2 linked regions of the Anolis sagrei genome follow. The protein of the gene in region 1 purifies or fractionates together with the protein of each later gene. This does not show direct contact. Links are inferred from orthologs where the notes say so. Each region holds a gene or a part of one and is shown in the gene's direction. Other genes may lie near its edges.

Region 1 (11,158 bases):
AGAGGTGGGGGAGTGGGATGATACCATGAGTTACTTGGGTGGCATCAACATTACTGACACCATTGCTATTAGATATTGTTTGTGATTACTGTGCCCTTGAGAGCTCATACTGAATAGAAATAAAAGATAGACATTCTTGAAACTGACATAGGTAATGCAATTTTTTCTACAATCTTCCACTTTCATGGATTTCATTGTCATGGATTTGATTCATGTGCTGCCAGCTTATGGCTCCTGAAGCCCCATCCTCAGGAGGTGAGTGGAGGAGCTGTTCAGGAGTTGAGTGTGCCCCAAGTTTCCGTTCTGCCCTGTAACTTCCTTTGCCCAGGTAAAACAGGCACTTGCGGCACAAAGGAAGAAGAGTGGCCGACCCCATGTACTACTTAACTTTTTCCATGGATCTGGCTCCGCTTCCTGTGTTCCATGAATATCTGTTTTTCCCAGGCAAAGAAAGATATAAGCACACAGGAAGAAGAGGAATTGGACTCACCAGATAAGTTGCAGGTGCACGTCCTCTTCCTGTTTGCTTGTTTTTATGTTCCCCATATTTACCCTTGCCTAGGCAAAACAAACATTTGCAGCATGTGAGAAAAGTAAAAGGATCTGATGTGTGTACAATAAGTGAAATGGTGCACAGGATTAGCTCCTCCTCCTCACACTGGGACCACAGCAGGTAATGCCCCATCTTGCTGCTGGAGATATTAATAGTTTTTCTATTTTTGTGGGAAGGCCTGGTCTGTAATTCCATGAAAGTGGAGAGACAACTGTACTTCGGCCTGCAAAATATCTACAGGGATAAATACCCCTAATATATAACTCAAGTACAAGAATGATTATCTAATATTTCAAGTCTAAATAGTTTTGTAGTAGCAGTTCTTCACCTAAGATGGACTGTTTGCTAGTCAAACAATTTTAATATTAGCTCTTCTTTACTATCTCCAGTATACCCGTCATCATCCCATATTCTCAGAAGATATGTTCCTAGGATTCACATGGATACACAGAACAGCAAACTACTGAAACGAAGTACCTCTGGCCCAAGAATATCATAGAATCACACTAGAAAATGTCTAGAGAAGATGGATTTTGTCGGATGGGGATAACCAAGGGGGCATAATGTTTTAAATCAACTACTGAAAAATGAAAACTTTCCATGTTTAATATGATGTTCAATTCCATTATTGATCCAACCAGAGTTGCAACTGTTTTATAATCAGTCAGCAAAAGCCTTTTCAGGCATTGTTTACAATTTATTAGTTCATCATTTCAGATGGGATGCTTGTTTTAGGAAAGCAATGTCCTGGCATTTTGCTTTTCTGACAAAACATGTAGCATGCATTTCTGCTCCCCCTGGTACCCTTTCTTTGCCTGAGGGGAAATTGACATTTACGGAACACAGGAAGAGGAAGAGAAGCCAGATCCATGTGGTAAGTGAAGTGGCACATGGAAGCACGCTCCTCTTATTCCTGCATGTCGCAAGTGTTTGTTTCATCCCAGGCAAAGGAAGGGAAGTACCAGGTGAAATAAACATGCAGGATGCCCACCTCCCAAACAACTCCCTCCTGCTCACTTCCTGAGGATGAGGCTACTGTGTAAATGTTCAGATGAGAGCCCCAACTTTGAGCGGTATGGGTGACATTTCAATCTTGTGAATAATCAAAAACATGGGTGGATGCAGGGGCTGCGAAAGCGTGGTGCCCGGAGATGGAACAACTAACTGGACTCCCGCTAGTCCTGCCGGTCTGGTGGAGAATCGATCGGGCTGAAGTTCCGGTGACGAGGGCGCCACGGCCCAATGAGGAAGCAATCGGCCGAAGCGAGGACGCGGCAGCAGCGACACGGTCCGCAGGCAGGGCCCCGTCTCGCCACAGATCGTAATGGCGGTAGATGGTAAATTCAGCCCTTATGCCAGCATGCACATACCTCGCTCAACAGTTAGATGACATCTTTAGGATTGAGGTGAGATCTTTAGGGGTTGAGGGAGCCAGCCGCTCTGTAATGGCGGCGGCGCTCTACCTCAGTCTACCTCGCCTTCCCCGCCTCCTCTTACCCTTCTTCTGAGCCGATCCAGATCGCCAGGGTCTCTTTCGAGTCCCCAGGTTATTCCGGATCTCTTGCTTGATCTGGGGAGGTCAGCGGGGGATCGCTTTGATTTTCAGCGGATTAAAGATCTCAGTCGGCGCAGCTTAAGATCTTGTTGCTCGCCTGACTGGAACCGGAACCAGACCGGAACAGGAACCCTCATTTTGCCCGCGGCATCGTTTGGACACCTTGGGGAAAAACCAAGACAAGTCCCACATTTTGGGCCCATCTGGATGGGCCCGTTGAGGGTCGGAACCAGCCCCCTATTGCTTGTTTCTAGGCTTAAGGCAGGAGTCCCCAAACTAAGGCCCAGGAGCTGGATACAGCCCTCCAAGGTCATTTACCCAGCCCTCACTCAGGGTTAACCTAAGTCTGAAACAACTTGAAAGCACACAATAACAACAACAACAACAACAACCCTATCTCATCAGCCAAAAGCAGGCCCACACTTTCCATTGAAATATTAATAAGTTTATATTTCTTAAAATTGTTCATCGTTTTAATTATTGTATTGTTTTGAAGTGTTTTAGCACTACAAATAAGATATGTGCAGTGTGCATAGGAATTCATTAATTTTTTTTCAAATTATAATCTGGTCCTCCAACAGTTTGAAGGACTGTGACCTGGCCATATGTTTAAAATGTTTGAGGACCTCTGGCTTAAGGCATGGGAGAAGAATCCCAGGGTGCATCTCCATTCAGAATTAATGGAGTTTCATCCCTTTTTAACTGCCATGGCTCAGTGCTATGGAATCATGGAAGTTGTGGTTAGTATAAGGTATTTTGCCTTCTCTGCCAAAGAGGGTTGATGCCCATTATTCCATAGCACTGAAATATAGTAGTTAAAGTGGTGTCAAGTTGCATTAATTCTATAGTGTAGATGCAGACTCTGTGTGTTAGCAGTGACTTAAAGCTGTACTTATACAGTATATGTGCATCAATGCATATACCCCTACTTTTTCTTTCTCTGGATCTTTCAGCTGCAGGTTGCTTTGGAGCTGTTGTGTAGACTATCCAAAGTATTCACCTGCTGGACTGCTTCTTCTCTCTTTGCAAAAAGCATGGTATTACTGTCTCTTTTTAGCTCTCTTTAGGCTGGGGGTCCTCAAATGTTTTAAACAGAGGGCCAAGTCACAATCCCTCAAATTGTTGGAGTGCCAGATTATAATTAGAAAAAAAACCATTAATGAATGCATATGCACACTGCACATATCTTATTTGTAGTGCAAATAACACTTATAAACAATGCAATAATTAAATTGAAGAACAATTTTAACAAATATAAACTTATTCGTATTTCAATGGGAAGTGATAAGTGCTTTTGGCTGATAAGATAGGATTGTTCTTGTTCTTGTGTGCTTTCAAGTCATTTCAGACTTAGGTTGACCCTGAGCAAGGGCCGGGTAAATGACCTTGGAGGGCTGCTTCCAGCCCTCAGGCCTTAGTTTGGAGGGCCCTGCTTTAGGTAATTGTTATAGATCTCTTTTAAGTCCTGATCTCTCTTCTCTTCTTTCCCCTCATGCTGTTGCTTTTTTTTCTCCCCTTCCCAACAACTCATTAAAAATCAGCATTTTCCCGCCCACCTCTCCCCTCTTCCTGCAACTCCTACCTACACTCATTTTCTTCCTTGTTCCCTCTTTCTCCTGCCCCATCAGCTCCTGGCAAATGGTTTATCTTCTACCGAGCTATCTTCTACCGAGCTTCTCCTCCCCAATCCTCTTTCTTTTTTTCCTCCCAATTTTATGCTCTTGCCCCTTGCTGAAAGAAAACGTTAAATCATGACTGGTTATGTTAGATTCTTATCATTTTATAGTTTTATATCACACTGCACCCGATCAAACTTGCTTCTGAATAGACATGTATAGATAAGATTGCCCTATTAATTTCTATTGTACTGCTTGTCTATTACCATCACTGCTGTTGTCATTATTATCATAATTATCATTGTTAGAATCTGGTGATTATAAATAGCATGATCGTGATGGCAATGGTGATAGTAATATGATTTGGGGGAGAGGGAGAAAACCCTGTGAAACATGGCTAGTGAAGGACCCAGGTTAATGAGAGCAATCCATTAAAAAAGGAACGTTTCTTTGGTGAACTGCAACGATAAAAAATAAGTTATTAGAAAAGTATTAAAAACAGAGCTAGGATAACTTATTCTTTTTTCTGTTCAACGTCAAACTGGGAAAACTTTGGTTAGAATGCAACTCCCACATATTGCAAAAACAAGACTTGCAAAGGTTCCAAAAATAGGTTCCAAAATTTCTGTTCAATTGAATACATTGGAAATGTAATTGCCAACAAGTGAAGCATTGTCACATGTGTTAGATTCGGTTAAATTTTACCATTGTTTGTGCTACCTGGTAAATCCAGGTCCCCAGATCAGAATAGAAATGAATGGACTGATTCCAGAGGCAGTTACATACAACCTCGCAAACCTGCTGTAGCAATATGTTGAAATCTACACACTCTAGCCAGGCCAAGACCGCTGTATTGTCATATTACCCTCGGTATCACCAACGCTGCTCCCAGCCAATCACAGAGCTCCACCCAAGCTCCTGTCCATTGTGGGCAACCCATTGTGACATCTCCAACACCCATTGTGAACCCTGAAAGGCCTCTGACCCCCTGCTCCCATTTGCTATCACACTACACAGCGAGTTGTATTTGCGGTGGAGATACATCAGTACCATCTTGACATTACTCTGGTACAAAGTTTTCAGTGGTGTCATATCGCCCAGATCAGATGGTGTAGGATACTTAAACAAATGCTAAAATCTCTCCATCTGACATAATTTGAGCATATAAATGCAATCTAAAATTCGATAAAAGTTAAAACTTTTATCGAAAAATAAAATCCAAAAACTGAAACAATCTCAGAAGAGAAACAACCTTTTAAAAAAAAACAACACCCTTTTTATGTGCACATGTATGAATGTTTTGCAATTATAATCAGCGCAACCTTGTTCAGCCATGAGAGTGAGTCTTTTTTTTGTGATCTTACAAACTCTACTGGGAATAGTATGCAAAGGGTCACCTTTGAAACCAACTGGGGCAGTTCAAGACAACATCAAATCACGTGCTTTAGTCAGGGGCAAAACAACCCAGGACCTGAGAAGATGTCCAAATACAAACTTGTTGGTCCCGGGATTTCTGCCTCTGTCATCCACACTTGCTGCTTTGTCGCAGGATTTTGCAGTACCCAAGATAGCGGCCATCACGGGACATCCACCAGAAATTAAGATGCAAGCATGCAAATCATTGTATAAGTTCAGTTCCTGGGTTATATAAACTGCAGGGCCATCTGTGCAGACAGGGCTTTGTTGGGTTATATATGTCTGTTCCTGATTGCATTGACCACGGAGCCATGTGTTTCATGAAGTTTCTGGCACACAACAAAGTTTTCATGTTCCACTGAACTATCATCTTCTTTTTAGGAACTGACCAATCAGGAACAAACATCTAAAATCCAGGAACAAACCCAGATTAAAAAATCATGTGTTTTCAATTGCAGGGACATACAGACATTTGAATATGCGGATTTTCAGCTCAGAACTGGGATTTTCCCACACCTAAAAATCTTGCGTCCGCGATTACAGGGAATAGCGTCTGGTCACCCTCCTGTTTGCTGTAGAAGCTCCTGGGATAAAGGTACTGTTTGGACAGGCCCTGCGAGAAAGAAATTGGTAGCATAAGCTTTCATAAACTTATATTTAGTTCTTGCATCTGGTGAAGTAGCATTAATACAAGATATGCAAGCTTATGCTACCAACTGCTGTCTCTCAGTCTCAAACGTGCTGCAAAATCCCTTTTACATACTGATATTCCAGTCATAGTCTGGAATATAAATATGCATGTCTGAATTGTATTGGAATGAAATCGTAACCAATCTCAACATTGTGGCCATAACTGTATAGGAGTTGTTAATCTATAGAGTTACATTTGTTACATAGGCCTGCCAAGATACATGAAAATACTGTTTTCCCTCCCCTATATCTGCTTTTAAAATGGTAACATGTTACTTGTATTGATTCCTATGTCCTTTGACCACCGTATATACTTGTGTATACGTTGACGGCATGTATAAATTGAGGGGAGATTTTATTGATGTGATGCGTAACCTGTACACAGAACAAGAGACTACTGTTAGGACAGAATACAGAGAAACAGAATGGTTTCCAATTGGCAAGGGGGTCAGGCAAGACTGCATTTTATCACACAATAAAGATATGCTAACAATATAATATGCAAATCAGTATTAGATTTGGAGGAAGAAGGCATGAAGATTGGAAGAAGAAACATCAGAAATGCAAGGATGCATCTACATTGGCCAGAAATGGTGATGCTGATCCGGGGAACCCTATGGAGTATCCAGAAGCCAAACTGCATGCTTCCAAGTCAGTTTGGGAACTGGATGGCAACCACAGTACTTAGCTCCAGGCTGGCCTGGTGGTTGGATGGTGGCCACAAAGCCAGGTGACACCAGAACTGGTAATATGCTGCTTGACTATATCCCTTGCTTTGCCCTATTGTTCTGGCCTTTTTAGTGCCCATGGGGCACAAAACTGGCACTGGTCACTGCTCAGCACCTGAAATGACAACAGGCATGAACTCTCCTAGAAGCCAAGATGACTAAACAGAGACCGATGTCCTTTGACCACATCATGAGAAGATGTGACTGAAAATACATTAATGCTTGGAAAGGCAGAAGGAAAAGAGGAAGGCCGCATTCTAGATACAGAGACTCTATCAAGTGACCTGAGAAAGGTGGCTGACGATTGATAGGGCAACTTGGAGGTCTCTCATTCATGGGGTCGCCATAAGGCAAATCAACTTGGAGGAAGCAAACCACAACAGCAAAACGTTTGGTGTTTTAATGAGAACCCATCATGGTCTGGAATGGTGTGTCTATGGGCCCTTCCACACAGCCCTATATCCCAGAATATCAAGGTAGGAAATCCCACAATATCCGAGTGTGGACTCAGATAGCCAGTTCAAAGCAGATATTGTGAGATTTTCTGCCTTTATATTCTGGAATATAGGGCTATGTGGAAGGGCCTTTAGTTTTTAGGCCTGTGTCTGGAGTTATTCAGAATTTAGAAAATTGCATTGGATAGACCTCATCAGCTCTACTTTCTTGGATATTGATATATATATTTATATATCAATATCCTTTTAATATATGTGTGTTATGGCAACAATTTTATGCTGATATTGTTTGTTAATCTTATGGTTATGTTGTTTACTCTGTATGTATTGATGATGTTACTTGGAAACAGCTCTGAGCCCCCCCCCCCCCCCTGGGAGACAGAGCGGTATATAAACCTCTATCTCTATAATAATATATAAACCTCAATAATAATAATAATAATAATAATAATAATAATAATAATAACTTTATATAAAGTTATTATTATTATTATTATTATTATTATTAGTAGTAGTAGTAGTAGTAGTAGTATTGGTATTGGATATGGTGATGCTTTTCTAATGACAAACAACTGGTAGATGGCATATGTTCTATATTTCAAAAAGCAGAACCAAGAGGGGAAAACTGATGCCACTTTTGGAACCAGCAGGGTTAAATATACCCAGAAACAGGTCTAACCTTTGAGGCCAGTGATACATATCCAGTTTTATTTTCATCAACTCGGTTTAATGAACTTTTGTTTTAAATTTGGATCAAATTTTCAGGTGCTTAGCAAAACAAAAACAGTGGGCCCAGTATTCATTGGATGTTTATGTGATGGCTATCCCAGAAATCCAGGCTAGTATGAAGCAGGCTTTTTCTTTCCCTGAGCAATTGCTCAAAGGCTCAGCCAAAATGCTCCGTATCAGTTCAAATTGCGGACGCAGATGAGTCAGGAAAGACGGCCAACAGGGTTCAACAAGAATATCAAAGTTTATTTATAGCAGCTGCTAGTGGCTTTTCGACACAACAAATGGCGTCTCTGGAAAAGCCCCCGAGCATCAAAGGTAGTGTTCTTTTATACATCAAAAAGGGGTTCGGCTTTAAGAGCCGCCCCGAAGATTAAATCATTGGTTAAAAAAGCTGTCAATATTATAATTAATATTAAGCAATTAGCTCATATATTTTTAAGTTTCGCTTCGCAATAAGCAAGCCCCTTCTTGGAAACATGCAAAATGCTGACATGCAAAATACAGCTGAAAACATTTGCTGATTTTGGGCAAGTTCTAACTTTAGCCTTGGCTACTTCCTTTTTGCAAAGTTGGCAAGTCTCATGACCGATTTTTCACCCTTTCACAAAAAAAAAAAACTCATCTTTAGTCTGTCTTTGTCTCCCATATATGGTCAAGTTCATCCGTTCTCTTTCTACATGCAAACCTCGACAGCTTTAGTAAAACTACAGCTGTGCTTTTTACCTTTTCTATAGCTGTACCTTTCTGCCTTATTCCCTCATGTTTTTGTTTTGCGAAGCGGTTTACAAAAGCGAGAGCAAATCAGCAAGGGTTAGATATTACGGATCTCTCCAATTATGCCCTTTAATGAGAGCTATCTTTTCTACCGAAGCTGCCTGATGCATATATCTCTGGCAAACTTGAAGCAAAATTGGAAAACAACACATTAGCAACAAAAAGACAAAACCGCATAGCATAATCACAAGTATTATTTCTCTAAGCCATGATGCTGAAGGAAGCAGAGACGTCAACCATGAGAAAGGTTGCCATCCATCTTCCTTTACGTTATGATTTATTAACTCTTGCAATTTTTCCAAATCATCTTCAATTGTTTGGTTCAGATTATGAAATTGGACCACGCACCGGCCCTTTATTATAGAACAGAATCCTCCTTTTGTTGCCAACAAATAATCTAGGGCTAGCTTGTGTTGCATTGCCATTTGGCTTAGTTCTTCAATTTCTGATTGTAATTGTCTAACTATTTTTCCTGTGGCATTTATGCTTTTCTCTAATCTACATGTGAGTCCCATGATACTCTTTCTGTTTTCTTGGGCCATTATTCCAGGATAGGACCCGAGGGTTAGGAGCCCTGTTATTAATCCTCCTCCTATCCTTGAGCCTCCAGTTTCGGACAGTTGTGAGTCTATAATCACTTCGTCTGAGCACTCAGGTCCTAGGGGTGCTATGGCTTTTAAAGATCTCTGAAGCCTCCTAGGGTGTTTAAGGACTCGTACAGGGAATGTCAGGTATCCTACCCCAACACACTGGTTTCTTCCTGGATGAAAATTGGTTGCCCATTTATCAAAGAAAAACCACATATTGGGATCTCTAATATGCCATCCTGAACAAATACTGCCTCCATTTCTCAGGGATGTGTAATTTGACTCAAACAGCGGGTACTCAGGGTACAGTTCCTTCCAGTCCGTGTCGGCCAGATTTTGTTTGTTAACATATGTAGAGTTATAGGTTCCATATAAATAAAACTTGTCCTGACAGTGAGTGTAATTTGTCAACCTTGTTAGGAAGGCTTTTCTGTGCTCCCAGCCTTTCCATTTTTGATTCCATGTACCCTTGTTTGCACAACAAAAACACATTTCTCTCGTGGTGGCAGTATATCTTATTCGTCTAAATTTAATGTGTTTTAATCCATCGGGGACCTGAGAAAATATGGTGGGATTTTGAATAGTTCCTTGTAACCCCCCGAGCACCACCTGGGGGTCAGCTATTAGGGTAGGGAGGAAGGAGAAGTCACCTACTTTCTCTGGATGTTCATATAGGAGTGCCACATCTTTTCCATGCTGATCAAACATGAATCTAGCATGCTCTTTTAGCCAATTTCCCTGTATCATAGTGATCATGTTTATAAGCATCATATATCCAAAAACCGTTCGAACTCCTATTGGTTTTCTAGGGCATCTTTCCCTCCTCCCCATTATAATCTCTATCCACCACTTCCAAGATAGGGCTTTCGTTGGGCCACACTGCGTCATACTTGACCTGCGACGATCTGTTGTTCCCGAAGAGGTCAGCTTCATGGCCTTGTTGACCCCTCAGGGAGTTGCCGGACGATCCTGAGTCTCAGGTCACTCTGATCTGCCTTTTTTATCTCCCACATGGGGGGTGCCAGCTTGGCACGGGTGTAATGTATCCAAGGTTTAACTTCCTTCACTTTAATGGCAGTAGGGGTTGATATCAGCACAGTATAGGGCCCTCTCCACTTGGGTCCTAGTGGGTCAATCTTCCACTCTTTCACAAGCACCTCGTCACCTGGCGAGAAACAATGCAAAGGTGTGGTAGGATAGGGTGGATTTAACTCTGAAGTATATTGTGCAATTTGTTTTATCTGTCCAGCCAGGGCTTGCACTTGTTGAATGGTTTGTTTATCTCCAATCACATGTTGGTCTCCCCCTTTGTCCAGTATCGACCTCAAATTTAATGGTGGTCTGCCATATAGTCTCTCATAGGGGGTCAGACCTGTTCTTTTGTGAGGGGTACACCTTACTCTCAATAGTACCATGGGCAGTATTACAGTCCAACCCAGCCCTGTCTCTTGACAGATTTTTGACATAGCAGTCTTTAGAGTCCGATTCATTCTCTCAACTTTAGCTGAGGACTGGGGCCTATAAGCGCAATGCAATTTCCATTTTGTGCCCAATATTTGACACAGTCCTTGAATCACCTTGTGTACATAAGCTGGACCGTTGTCAGACCCTATTTCTGATGGTATTCCAAATCTGGGGATTATGTCCTTCAAAAGTGCTCTTGAAACTTCTACTGCCTTTTCAGTTCGGGTTGGGTACGCCTCTACCCACCCGGTGTAGGTGTCCACAAAAACAAGCAAATATTTGTAGCCCTTTTGCGGGGGCATCTCAGTAAATTGCCTCGAATGGGACGTTGCCTATGTGTTGAATTCCTGGTGGCTTTAAGGGTCCTTCTCGAGGATTATTTTTGGCGCATGTCCAGCATCTGTGTGCTGCTGCTGCTGTCAGGCTATGGAGTCCATCAATGTACATTTGCCGTTCTAGCAGCTTAGCTAAGGCTGTCTTACCCAGGTGTGTGTTGGAGTGCATATGTCGGACTATGTGCCACGCCATATCCTTAGGGACATAAACGCGGTTATCTGGCATCACAATGACCTCTCCCTTCCATTCTCC
Region 2 (11,224 bases), on another chromosome or scaffold:
ATTGTTTGGAAAACTTTTTGGAAGAATTGCGCGCGTGGAAAGAGATCACTCGGAAATCCCTTCGTAGTGTGTATACCATGCTGTTGAAGGCTTTCGTGGCCGGAATCACCGGGTCGCTGTGAGTTTTCCCCAGGCTGTCCGGCCATGTTCCAGAAGCATTCTCTCCTGACGTTTCGCCCACATCTATGGCAGGCATCCTCAAAGGTTGCGAGGTATATTGGAAACTAGGTAAGTGGGGTTTATAATATCTGTGTAAGGTCCACGGTGGGAGAAAGAACTCGTTCTCTGTTGGGGGAATCCCAACAAAGGATTCCCCCAGGCAGGAGGCATCCAGGCTTTGAAGCTGCAAGGCCATTCAATGGTAACCAAGGTAGCCAATTGCAACATTCACATATGCCTCAAAAAGGTAAGAGTTCTATTCCCCCACTCTAGACATTTCACAGATATATATAAACCCCACTTGCCTAGTTTCCATCAGACCTCACAACCTCTGAGGACGCCTGCCATAGATGCGGGCGAAACATCAGGAGAGAATGCTTCTAGAACATGGCCATACAGCTTGGAAAACTCACAGTAACCTCCAGGCAGGAAGCAGCCAGGCTTTGAAGCTGCAAGGCTATTCAATAGTAATCAAGGTATATCAACCCCACTTGCCCGTTTTGCCCACATCTATGGCAGGCATCCTCAGAGGTTGTGAGGTCTGTTGGAAACTAAGCAAGAGAGGTTTATAATATCTGTGGAAGGTCCAGGGTGGGAGAAAGAACTTTGTCTGTTGGGGAAATCCCAACAAAGGATTCCTCCAGGCAGGAAGCAGCCAGGCTTTGAAGTTGCAAGGCTATTCAATGGTAATCAAGGTAGCCAATTGTAAACATTCACACTTTCCTCCAACAGACAAGAGTTCTTTTTCCCACCCTGGACATTATTCCACATATATATCAACCCCACTTGCCTAGTTTCCAACAGACCTCACAACCTCTGGGGATGCCTGCCATAGATGCAGGGGAAACGTCAGGAGAGAATGCTCCTGGAACATAGCCATGCAGCCTATAAAACTCACAGTAACCCCCAGGCAGGGAGCAGCCAGGCGTTGAAGCTGCAAGGCTATTCAGTGGTAATCAAGGTAGCCAATTGCAACATTCACACTTGCCTCAAGCAGACAAGAGTTCTTTTTCCCACCATGGACATTATTCCACAGATATATCAACCCCACTTGCCTAGTTTCCAACAGACCTCACAACCTCTGGGGATGCCTGCCAGAGATGCAGGGGAAATGTCAGGAGAGAATGCTTCTGGAACAGGGCTATATAGCCCGGAAAACTCACAGCAACCCTGTGTGTGTGTGTGTGTATACAACCATCTTGTGGAGCAAGTCCTGCGCTGTTCTGCTCAGGAGTAAGTGCCAGTGCCTTGAAAAAAACCGAATTCCCCAGCCTCAGCCAAGTTGGCAATTCCTCCTGCAGAAATCCAGAGCCCTCCTTTCAGCCCGGAAAGTCCCCCCCCCCCCCATGTGGGAATGAAGGAGGTCACTACACCTGTCTGAGCTTGTCCCAAACCTCCCTCAGGCTTGATGGAAACTGAGCCGCACCTTTGCACTGATCACTGCAAAGGAATCACCCTTTTGGGTCCTTCTGAAAGGGAGGGTGAAGGGACTTGGAATGGGAAGGAGGCCTATCTTGGGCAACTTTGGGACCCTCCTGAGAAAAACAAGAGGGAGCCCTTTCTGCACCAGTTCTCCCTTGGAGTCCCCACACACCTTACAGGAGAAGGGAGGCCCAAACTTTTGGTACTCAGGTGAAGAAGGGATTTTCCAGGCAAAGGCTATGGGCTGAAAAAAGGCAAATTAAGATCTTGAGGATGGAGTTGCCTTCAAGCCTTTCTTGATGCACTGCAACCCTAAAAGTTGTGAGGTCTGTTGGAAATGAAGAAAATGGGGTTCACATCTCTGTGGAATGTCCAGGGTGGGAGAGAGAACCCTTGTCTGGGTTGTTGTAGGTTTTTCGGGCTATATGGCCACGGTCTAGAGGCATTCTCTCCTGAAGTTTCGCCTGCATCTATGGCAAGCATCCTCAGAGGTAGTGAGGTCTGTTGGAACTAGGAAAAGGGGTTTATATATCTGTGGAATCACCAGGGTGGGGCAAAGGACCCTTGTCTGTTGCAGGCTAGTGTGAATGTTTGCAATTGGCGATCTTGATCACCACTGAATAGCCTTGCAGCTTCAAAGCCTGGCTGCTTCCTGCATGGAGGTTACTATGAGTTTTCCAGGCCATGTTCCAGAAGCATTCTCTAGAGTTGGAATCCTAGAGTTGGAAGAGACCTCTTGGCCCATCCAGTCCAACCCCCTGCCAAGAAGCAGGAAAATCACCTTCAAAGCACCCCGACAGATGGTCACCCAGTCTCTGTTTAAAAGCCTCCAAAGGAGCCTCTACTACTCTCCAGGGCAGAGAGTTCCACTGCTGAACAGCTCTCACAGTCAGGAAGGTCTTCCTCGTGTTCAGGTGGAATCTCCTTTCCTGAAGTTTGAAGCTAGTCTCCAGGGCAGCAGAAAATAAGCCTGCTCGCTCCTCCCTATGACTTCCCCTCATACGTGGTCATCATCATGTCTCCTCTCAACCTTCTCTTCTGAAGGCTAAACATATCCAGCTCTTTAAGCTGCTCCTCATAGGGCTTGTTCTCCAGACTCTTGGTCAATTCTCCTTTGGATTCTACACACACCTTACAGGAGGAAGGAGGCCCAAACTTTTGATACTCAGGTAAAGAGGAAGGGATTTTCCAAGTGAAGGCTAAGGAAAATTAAGAACTTGAGGATGGAGTTGCCTTCAAACCTTTCTCAACACAAGAGGACTCTAAAACGCACTCATTCTGTGGCAAAGTTGCTTCAGAGTGGGTTTGCCATGGCCATCTTCTGAAGCTGAGAGAGTGTGACTAGTGAGTTTCCAAGGGACTGAGAGAGGACTCGAAGCCTGGTCTTCCTGAAACCTTATTGTTTTAACTACTCAGTCACTTAAAAGGACAGTGTAGGTCCTTGGGCCTTCCCTCCAGTTGTTCTGGACCCCAACTCCCATCATTCCTAACAGCCTCAGGTCCTTTCCTTTTCGTGAAAAGGAAGGAGCCTGAGGCTGTTAGGAATGGTGGGAGTTGAAGTCCAAAACACCTGGAAGGCCCAAGTTTGCCCATGTCTGATGTTGATATAGAATTAATGCAGCTTGACACCACTTTCGCTGTCAGGGCTCATGGCTTTTGGAATAATGGGAGTTGTATTTTGGTGAGGTACCAGCACCCTTAAAAGTTGTCAATCTACCTTTCCCATGCTTCCATGGCAGCTAAAGTGGTCTCAAACTGGACAGTACAGATTTGCTTTCAGTCAGGTGAACAAGCCCTATGAGGAGCAGCTTAAAGAGCTGGGTATGTTTAGCTTGCAGAAGAGAAAACTGAGAGGAGACATGATGAGGGCCATGTATCAAGATGTGTGGGAGAAGTCATAGAGAGCAGGCCTGTTTTCCACTGCCCTGGAGACTTGGATGGCTTCAAACTACAGGAAAGGAGATTCCAGCTGAACATGAGGAACAACTTCCTAATTTTGGGAACTGTTTAGCAGTGGAACTCTCTGCCCCGGAGTGTGTTGAAGGCTCCTTCTTTGGAGGCTTTTAAGCAGAGGCTGGATGGCCATCTGTCAGGGGTGCTTTGGAGGCGATTTTCCTGCTTCTTGGCAGAGAGTTGGACTGGATTGGCCCACAAAGTCTCTGAGAAAAAAATCCACTTTAAATCTGATTGCTGCCTCCTGCAGAATTCTGGAGTTTGTAGTTTAGGGAGGAACCTTTAACAGCTTCACTTAAGTGGATTTCTCTCTCTCTAGTGTGATGAAGTGGTAGAAGTAATACCATTCTATGAGGGGATCCTTGAGGACTAGCGCCTTGGCCACAGTCCTTGGAGAAAGAAGGGCAGGCTCTCCAACTTCAAAGGGAAGCTGCTGATTAGGCAGCTGAGGGGGAAAAGGAAAGGGCCTGAGGTTGTTAAGAATGGTGGGAGTTGCAGCCCAAAACACCTGGCGGGCCCAAGTTTGCTGTTATATCCACACGAGATGCCTGAACACATGCGTGTTTGAGAGAGAGAGAGTGTGTGCACGTGTGTCTGTCTTTGTGGCTCCCTCTGCAATCGCAATTCCGATGGAGAGACTGGAAGAGAAGAGAGAGAGGGAAAGGGGGGGGGGGTGGTGGAATTGAGAGAGAGAGATCTCTCTTCCTTCCCCCACGCAGATATTTGTGTTATTGTAAAAAGCAGTGGGAAATGCGCGGGGAAGGTGTTTGGATCCTGCTCGCCGCCTCGAATTGCTTGCGCTCGAGGAAAGCAAGCAAGCAAGCCAGCAAACCGGAGCGTGGAGTTGGCCTGGGCTTTGGTTGGGGGGGGGGGGGCAATGGGGGAGGGTGGGAGCCTATGGATCTCCTGGTGGAGCCACGACCCAGCCGCGTGGGAGAGGTTGGAAGGAAGGGAAGGGAAAGGAGAGGAGGGAAGAAGGCACCGAGGGAGGGCGAAAGGTGAGCAGGTGGATCCGGGGAGAGAAAACCGCTCTGGACCTCTCTCCTCCACTTCTCCTCCTCCTTCCCCATCCTGCCCTCCTTCCAACTCTTCCTTGCCCTGGCTAGGGCTCTTCTTCCGGCGCCGGCTTGCTTGGCTTCACCCCCTCCTTCTTTCCTTCCTTCCCTCCCACCCCCAGCCCTTTCTCTCCAGTCTCCCCGAAGGCTTAGAGAGAGAGAGAGAGAGAGAGAGAGAAGAGAGAGAAAGGTCCGTCCCATTTGGGCTCCTTTCCAGCAGGGTGGGCGGGCGCGCGGGATGGAGGAGGGAGGTGGGCTCGGGTCCTGCTCACCTTTGGTGCCTTCTTCCCTCCTTTCCTTTCCCTTCTCTCCAACCCTAGAGAGCCTTCCTTCCCCCCAAAGACCTCCTTCTCTGCTGTGGTCGAAAGGTGGGCTTGGGTCCAGCTCACCTCTCAACCTCCCTTAGGTATCTCCTTCCCTCCTTTCCTTTCCCTTCTCTCCAACCCTAGAGAGACTCCCCCCCCCCCCCAAGACCGTCTCCTCCTCTGCTTTGCCAAAAGGTGGGCTCGTGTCCTGCTCACCTCTCGACCTCCCTTTGGTGCCTTCCCTCCTCCTTTCCTTTCCTTTCCCTCCCCCCTTCCTTCCCCCCTAAGACCTCCTTCTCTGCTGTGGTCGAAAGGTGGGCTTGGGTCCAGCTCACCTCTCAACCTCCCTTAGGTATCTCCCTCCCTCCTTTCCTTTCCCTTCTCTCCAACCTAGAGAGACTTCCTTCCCCCCCTAAGACCGTCTCCTCCTCTGCTTTGCCAAAAGGTGGGCTCGTGTCCTGGTCACCTCTCAACCTCCCTTTGGTGCCTTCTTCCCTCCTTTCCTTTCCCTTCTCTCCAACCCTAGAGCCTTCCTTCCCCCCAAAGATCTCCTTCTCTGCTGTGGTCGAAAGGTGGGCTTGGGTCCAGCTCACCTCTCAACCTCCCTTTGGTGCCTTCCCTCCTCCTTTCCTTTCTCTCCAACCCTAGAGAGCCTTCCTTCCCACTTAAGATCTTCTCCTTCCCTAGCTTCTCATTCTCTGCTTTGGTGGAAAGGTGGGCTCAGGTCTTGCTCACCTCTCAACCTCTCTTGGGTGCCTTCCTCCCTCCTTTCCTTTCCATTCTCTCCAACCCCAGAAAGCCCCCCCCCCCAAGACGAAAGGTGGGCTTGGGTCCTGCTCAACGTCTCTTGGGTGCCTCCCTCCCTCCTTTCCTTTCCCCTCTCTCCAACCCCAGAAAGCCCCCCCCTCAAGACCTTCTCCTTTTCTGCTTTGGTCGAAAGGTGGACTTGGGTCCTGCTCACCTCTCAACCTCTTTTTGGTGCCTCCCTCCCTCCTTTCCCTCCAACCCTAAGAGGCTTCCTCCCACCTAAGACCTTCTCCTTCCCTAGCTTCCCTTCCTCTGCTTTGGCCGAAGAGGCTGCTAGAGTGGAAACCACTCTACTTCCCTTTTTCTCTGCCTCTTTCCCAAGCCAAAGAAGCTTCACCTCTCTTTCCAGATCCCTTTCCTCTTTCTTTCCCCGACTTTCTAAATCCATCTCCTTTTGCAGAAAGTCCAAGGCCAGGTCTGGCTCTTTTCTCCCCCTCTCTCCAAACACACACACACCTCTTCTTTGCTTCTCCTCTCTTTCTCTCTCTTTCCCCCTCTTTCTTCTTCCCTTTCCCCTCTGCCTCTTTCCCAAGCCAGTGAAGCTTCACCTCGCTTTCCAATTCCCTTTCCTTTTTCTAAATCCATCTCCTTTTGCAGAAAGCCCAAGGCCAGGTTTGGGCTTGGAGGGCCCTCCTCTCTCCAAACATACACACACCTCTTCTTTGCTTCTTCTTCTCTCTCTCTCTTTCTCTCTCTTCCCCCTCTTTTTTCCCCTTCTCCTTCCTCCCCCTTCTTCTTCTTCTTGTTCTCTTGCAGGGTACAATGTTAAAAAGCCACCGCTAGTCGCCCCCAGTGCTCCTAGTCTTATTTTTTTTTGTCTCTAGTGCAGATTAAACGTCACGTCCGCACTTGAACTTGAATTTTATCCCATTGTACGGAGGCAGACCCAGCCACAGCGAGACGGAGCGCTCCCAGGGAACCAGGACTCCGCCATCTTCACATTGCAATAGAGCTCTCTCTCTCCCCAGTCCTAGCCAGAAGCACCGGGGGGCTGCCTGCCGAGAGAGAGACAGAGACAGAGAGAGAGACCCTCTTCTGCTGCCAAGCAAAGGGAGGGAGACAGGGGGGCAAAGGCTGCCGCCAAAGCCTAGCCAATAGATAAGAGAGAGAGAGAGAGAGAGATCTATACATCCGATTCTAGACTCCTACTACTACAACAACAAAACCCCAACCTTGAACTGGCACAGTCTGGGCTGCCCTCTCCAAAGAGAGACTCTGAAGTCACCCACCGCCAAAGCTCGGGTGGTTTTCTTTCCTTTCCCCCCTTTTGCCTTTTCTCCCCATTTTTCCCTACTTTTTGGTGTGCCAGCGTGCGTCTCTCTTTTCTCATCCCAGGTGGAAGGAAGAAGTGCACTTTGGTGGCTCTTTTTTCTTCTCTCCCTACATTTTTTTCTCCTTCCCCCCTTCCATCTCTTTCCCCTTCTCCATTCTCTGGAAAAATAAAAAGAAAGTCTTTCTCTGCGCTTGGTGAAAGGGGGGAAGAGGAGGAGGAGGGACACAACCATCCTTCTCTCTTCCCCTGAAGTTCAAGAAACAGATCTGGAAGCGGTTGCAAAGGGAGGGGGGGAAAACCCCCAAAGACAGTTTGCGTTGCCTGGCGAAAATCACCCCAAGCAAGCCTCTCCCCCTCTCTTGGCTTTGGTGCCGGTGATGATGATGATGATGTTTTAATTGAAGGAAGGACCTCGCCTTGAGCGCGCCAAGCAGGCAGAAAGAAAGAAAGAAAGAAAGAAGGGGGGCTGGCCAGAGTTTCGCCTCTTTCTCCATCCAAGGCTTCCTCGCCATCGCCGCTCTTCACCTCATCACCATCTACATTGTGTTTTCTTTCTTCCACCAAGAAGAAGAAAATAGAAGAAGAGAAAAGGAAGAAGATTGCTCCCCCTTCCTCCTCCTCCTCCGACCCGGCTCTCAAGTCCAGCTCTCCGGGCGATGACCGTGTAAATGCCAGGGCAATGTCCCGTCGCAAGCAGGGCAACCCGCAGCACTTATCGCAACGGGAAATTATCACGCGTAAGTTGCAAAAAAGGAGGGACGAGGGGGGAAAGAAGAGTGCCTGGATTGCGTGCGCTTTTGGAGAAACTAGGGAAGGAGGGGGGGGGAACCCGGTTGGGGAGGAGAGATGGGAACTTGGGGAGCCTCCTTGTGCCTCCACGAAGGGAAGCAAGGAAGGTGCCCAACTGGGAGACTTAAGGTAGGCTTGGGACTGCAGAGTTGGAGGGAGAAAAGGAGAGGATGCTGGAGAGGGGATTGGGAAGGCGCACAGAGGCGAAGGCAGACATCCAGAGGCGCGTCTGGACGTTTAGACAAGTTTGGAGCCAATTTGGAAACGGTTTGGGGGTTCAACCGTGCTCCGATTTAAGCCTAGGGATGTGTGCGTGTGTTTGGAAGCCTAAGGTAGGTGTATTTGTGCAATACAAGGAAAGGAAGAGGAGTTGGAGGAAGAAAAAAAGAAAGAAAGAAAGAAAGAAAGGAGGAGAACCCTAGAATGCAGGAAAGGAGGGCGCAGAGTGGAGAGGGAAAGTTGGGGCGAATTTGAAACCGGTGTAGGGAGTAAATCTGCTTTGGTGTATACCTGGTTATGCGTGTGCGTGTTTGAGAGACTCAGGTGGGTGCAAGGAAAGGGAAGAGTTGGAGGAAGAAAGGACAAAGATGCTGGATTTGGAGGGGCTTTGCAAAGCGCGCCTGGCTTGGAGAGCAGGGCGCACGGTGGAGAGAGGGAAAGAGGTCTCTTCTAAGCAAAGTTTGGGGGGGAGGTAAACCTAAGGGTAGGCCATAACACGTTGTGTGTGTGTGTGGGGAGTGTTGTGCTGTGGGAGACCCACTCGAAGGACTTGGAGACAGAGAAAGAAAGGGAGTAAAAGCCAGTCCAAACTTGGAGAGGGAGAAGAAAGGTGGCTGGAGTGAGGTGGGGGAGAAAGTCAGGGGCTTAATGGGAACCACATGGAAAGGAGGCCGGCATGAGGAGCTGGGGAGAAGTAAGAGGAGGGGGGTAGAGGGTGGAAAGCCTCCCCTGGGATCCTTTTCTGCTCCAAAATAGAGGAAACCCAGGACTTCTAGGTGAGGATGAGAGAGGCGCGAGTCAGTGGACAGGTAGTTGGAGAGGCTTCCCACAGCCTTCTCCTCTTAGGACACCTTTTTGTGTTGAACATAATACTATAGGGAGAGTGGGGGGATGTGTCTGTCAAGTTCTCCTTTTCAAGAAGGGGATGGGAAGGGAGGGAGGGCAGGTATACATGTGAGCTGGGAGGGGAGGGTGGGAAATGCAAGTGGGGGGAGAGAAGAGAGAGAAAGGAACCTGGTGCAGGGAGGGGAGCCCCTCTTTGCATGGGCCGAGCGCAAACAGCTTTGCAGGAAAACGTCCTGCAAATAAGGCGCTACTTTTTTGCAAAAGGGGTGATGGTGTCCTGCAAATAACAAGGCGCCACTTTTGCAAAGGATTTGATGGTTGTGGTGAGGACAGGCTGCACACAGAGAAATAGTTGCAAGGTTTCTCCAGGGAGGTAGAAGTGGGCAGAGAGATATCTAGAACGGGGTGGTCTTTGCACAAGAAGCCAGTTGTGTCTCTGTTTGGGGAGAAAGAGTTGGGATCCAGGGATAAGGTCCATCCAAGGAACGAGGGGAGTGTCGAGAGCTTTTCTAAGCAGATCCTCCTTCCTTGCCCATTCAAAACCACGTTTTTTGAATGGATAACCCTAACCCCTTTCTATCTCTTCCTCATCTCTATTTCTTCCTATGTCAATGAAGCAGATGTCCAACACTTGAAGGTCCTCTTTTTGGCTCTGCTTTGCAAGCCCTCTCTCTGGGCTTGACTTAACTGGGGTCCATTGGGTGCATGTGGGTCATTAACAGTGAAAAATAATAATAGTCCTGGGTAGTTGCAATTGCAATGGTAGTTCCCATTGCAATGAAACATGTCCAACACTTGAAGGTCCTCTTTTTGGCTCTGCTTTGTAAGCCCTCTCTCTCCGGGCTTGACTTGGGTGCATGGGTCACCAACATTGAATAATAATAATAATAATAAGAAGTTGCATAGGTCATCAACATTGAATAATAATAATAATAATAAATAGCCCAGATTAGTTTTCTTCTTATCCCCCCTTTCTCCCTTTTCCTCTTCTCTATTTCTTCCTGGCAATGAAGCAGATGTCCAACACTTGGAAGGTCCTCTTTTGGCTCTGCTTTGCAAGCCCCCCCCCCCCCGACTTATCTAGAGTCCATTGGGTGCATGGGTCAACATTGAATAATAATGATGATGATGATGATGATGATGATGATGATGATGATGATGATGATGATAATAATAATAATAAATGAATAGCCCGGGGTAGTTTTCTTCTTATCCTCCCCTTTCTCCCTCTTCCCCATTCTCTATTTCTTCCTATGGCAATGAAGCAAATGTCCAACACTTGGAAGGTCCTCTTTTTGGCTCTGCTTTGCAAGCCCCCCCCCCCGACTTAATTAGGGTCCATTGGGTGCATGGGTCATCAACATTTAATAATAATAATAATCATATCATCTCAGGTTAGTTTTCTTATTATCCCCCCCTTTCTCCCTCTTCCCCATTCTCTATTTCTTCCTATGGCAATGAAGCAGATTTCCAACACTCCTTTTGGTCCTCTTTTTGGCTCTGCTTTGCAAGCCCTCTCTCTCTCTGGGCTTGGCTTAACTGTGGTCCATTGGGTGCATGGGTCATCAACATTTAATAATAATAATCTCAGGTTAGTTTTCTTCTTATCCCCTCTTTCTCCCTCTTCCCCATTCTCTATTTCTTCCCATGGCAATGAAGCAGATTTCCAACACTCTTTTTGGTCCTCTTTTTGGCTCTGCTTTGCAAGCCCTCTCTCTCTCTGGGCTTGGCTTAACTGTGGTCCATTGGGTGCATGGGTCATCAACATTAAAAATAATAATAATAAATAGCCCGGGGTAGTTTTCTTTTCGGGGTGTTTGTGTATGTGTGTGAGATGGAGTGAAGGAGGGGAAGGAAACAAGCCCAGAGCCCAAGCCAAGCCCTGCAAACGCCGACAGGAACAGCTCCTTTGCAAGCTTCGGCTTCTTGTTTCCATGCAAGCCGTTGCGCCTGGAGAAAAGGGGGAAATGCAGCATGCTTGCGTGTGCAGGAGAAATAGAATATGCATGGGATATATTTGTTCCCAATTTAAATACCTCGATAGGCAGAGACCCCCAGCCTTCCTTCCCCTTCCCCCTCCTCAGTGCAGGGAGCCCAGGACTAGCAGCCATCTGCCAGGAGCGTTGGGTGACAGCGGTCCCTGCCTCTTTGCCTCTCCTTTGTTGTTTTGTCAGAACATCTCGGGATTTATCGTGGATGGGCCAATGCAAGTCGAGGGACCCGGGATAATAGCTTTATGAATTGTTATCCCCCTTTCTCCTTTTTCCCCCTTTGCTATGTATGTATATATTTCTCTCTAACCCCCCCCCCCCCACTTCCATACCTTTTATGAAGCGGCTGCATCACCAATGAAGATGCATTTGTGATCAGCTCTTTGCATTGATTTGGGAGCGCTT

What was found. The genes of interacting proteins can lie anywhere in the genome.
Region 2: the proteins of CHD4 (region 1) and BCL11B purify together in Homo sapiens (affinity purification with mass spectrometry; 4 studies listed by BioGRID and IntAct, with this or other methods). This does not show direct contact. The link is inferred for Anolis sagrei from reciprocal best matches to the Homo sapiens genes CHD4 and BCL11B.

Annotation. Positions count from the first base shown.
Region 1 is NC_090022.1:197,398,834-197,409,991, reverse strand, and holds the start of CHD4 (chromodomain-helicase-DNA-binding protein 4), read left to right. Parts: upstream 1-5,618; 5' UTR 5,619-5,735; intron 5,736-11,158. UniProt on the Homo sapiens protein: ATP-dependent chromatin-remodeling factor that binds and distorts nucleosomal DNA. Acts as a component of the histone deacetylase NuRD complex which participates in the remodeling of chromatin.
Region 2 is NC_090021.1:321,126,080-321,137,303, reverse strand, and holds the start of BCL11B (B-cell lymphoma/leukemia 11B), read left to right. Parts: upstream 1-6,208; 5' UTR 6,209-7,653; coding exon 7,654-7,711; intron 7,712-7,809; exon of another isoform or gene 7,810-7,892; intron 7,893-11,224. UniProt on the Homo sapiens protein: Key regulator of both differentiation and survival of T-lymphocytes during thymocyte development in mammals.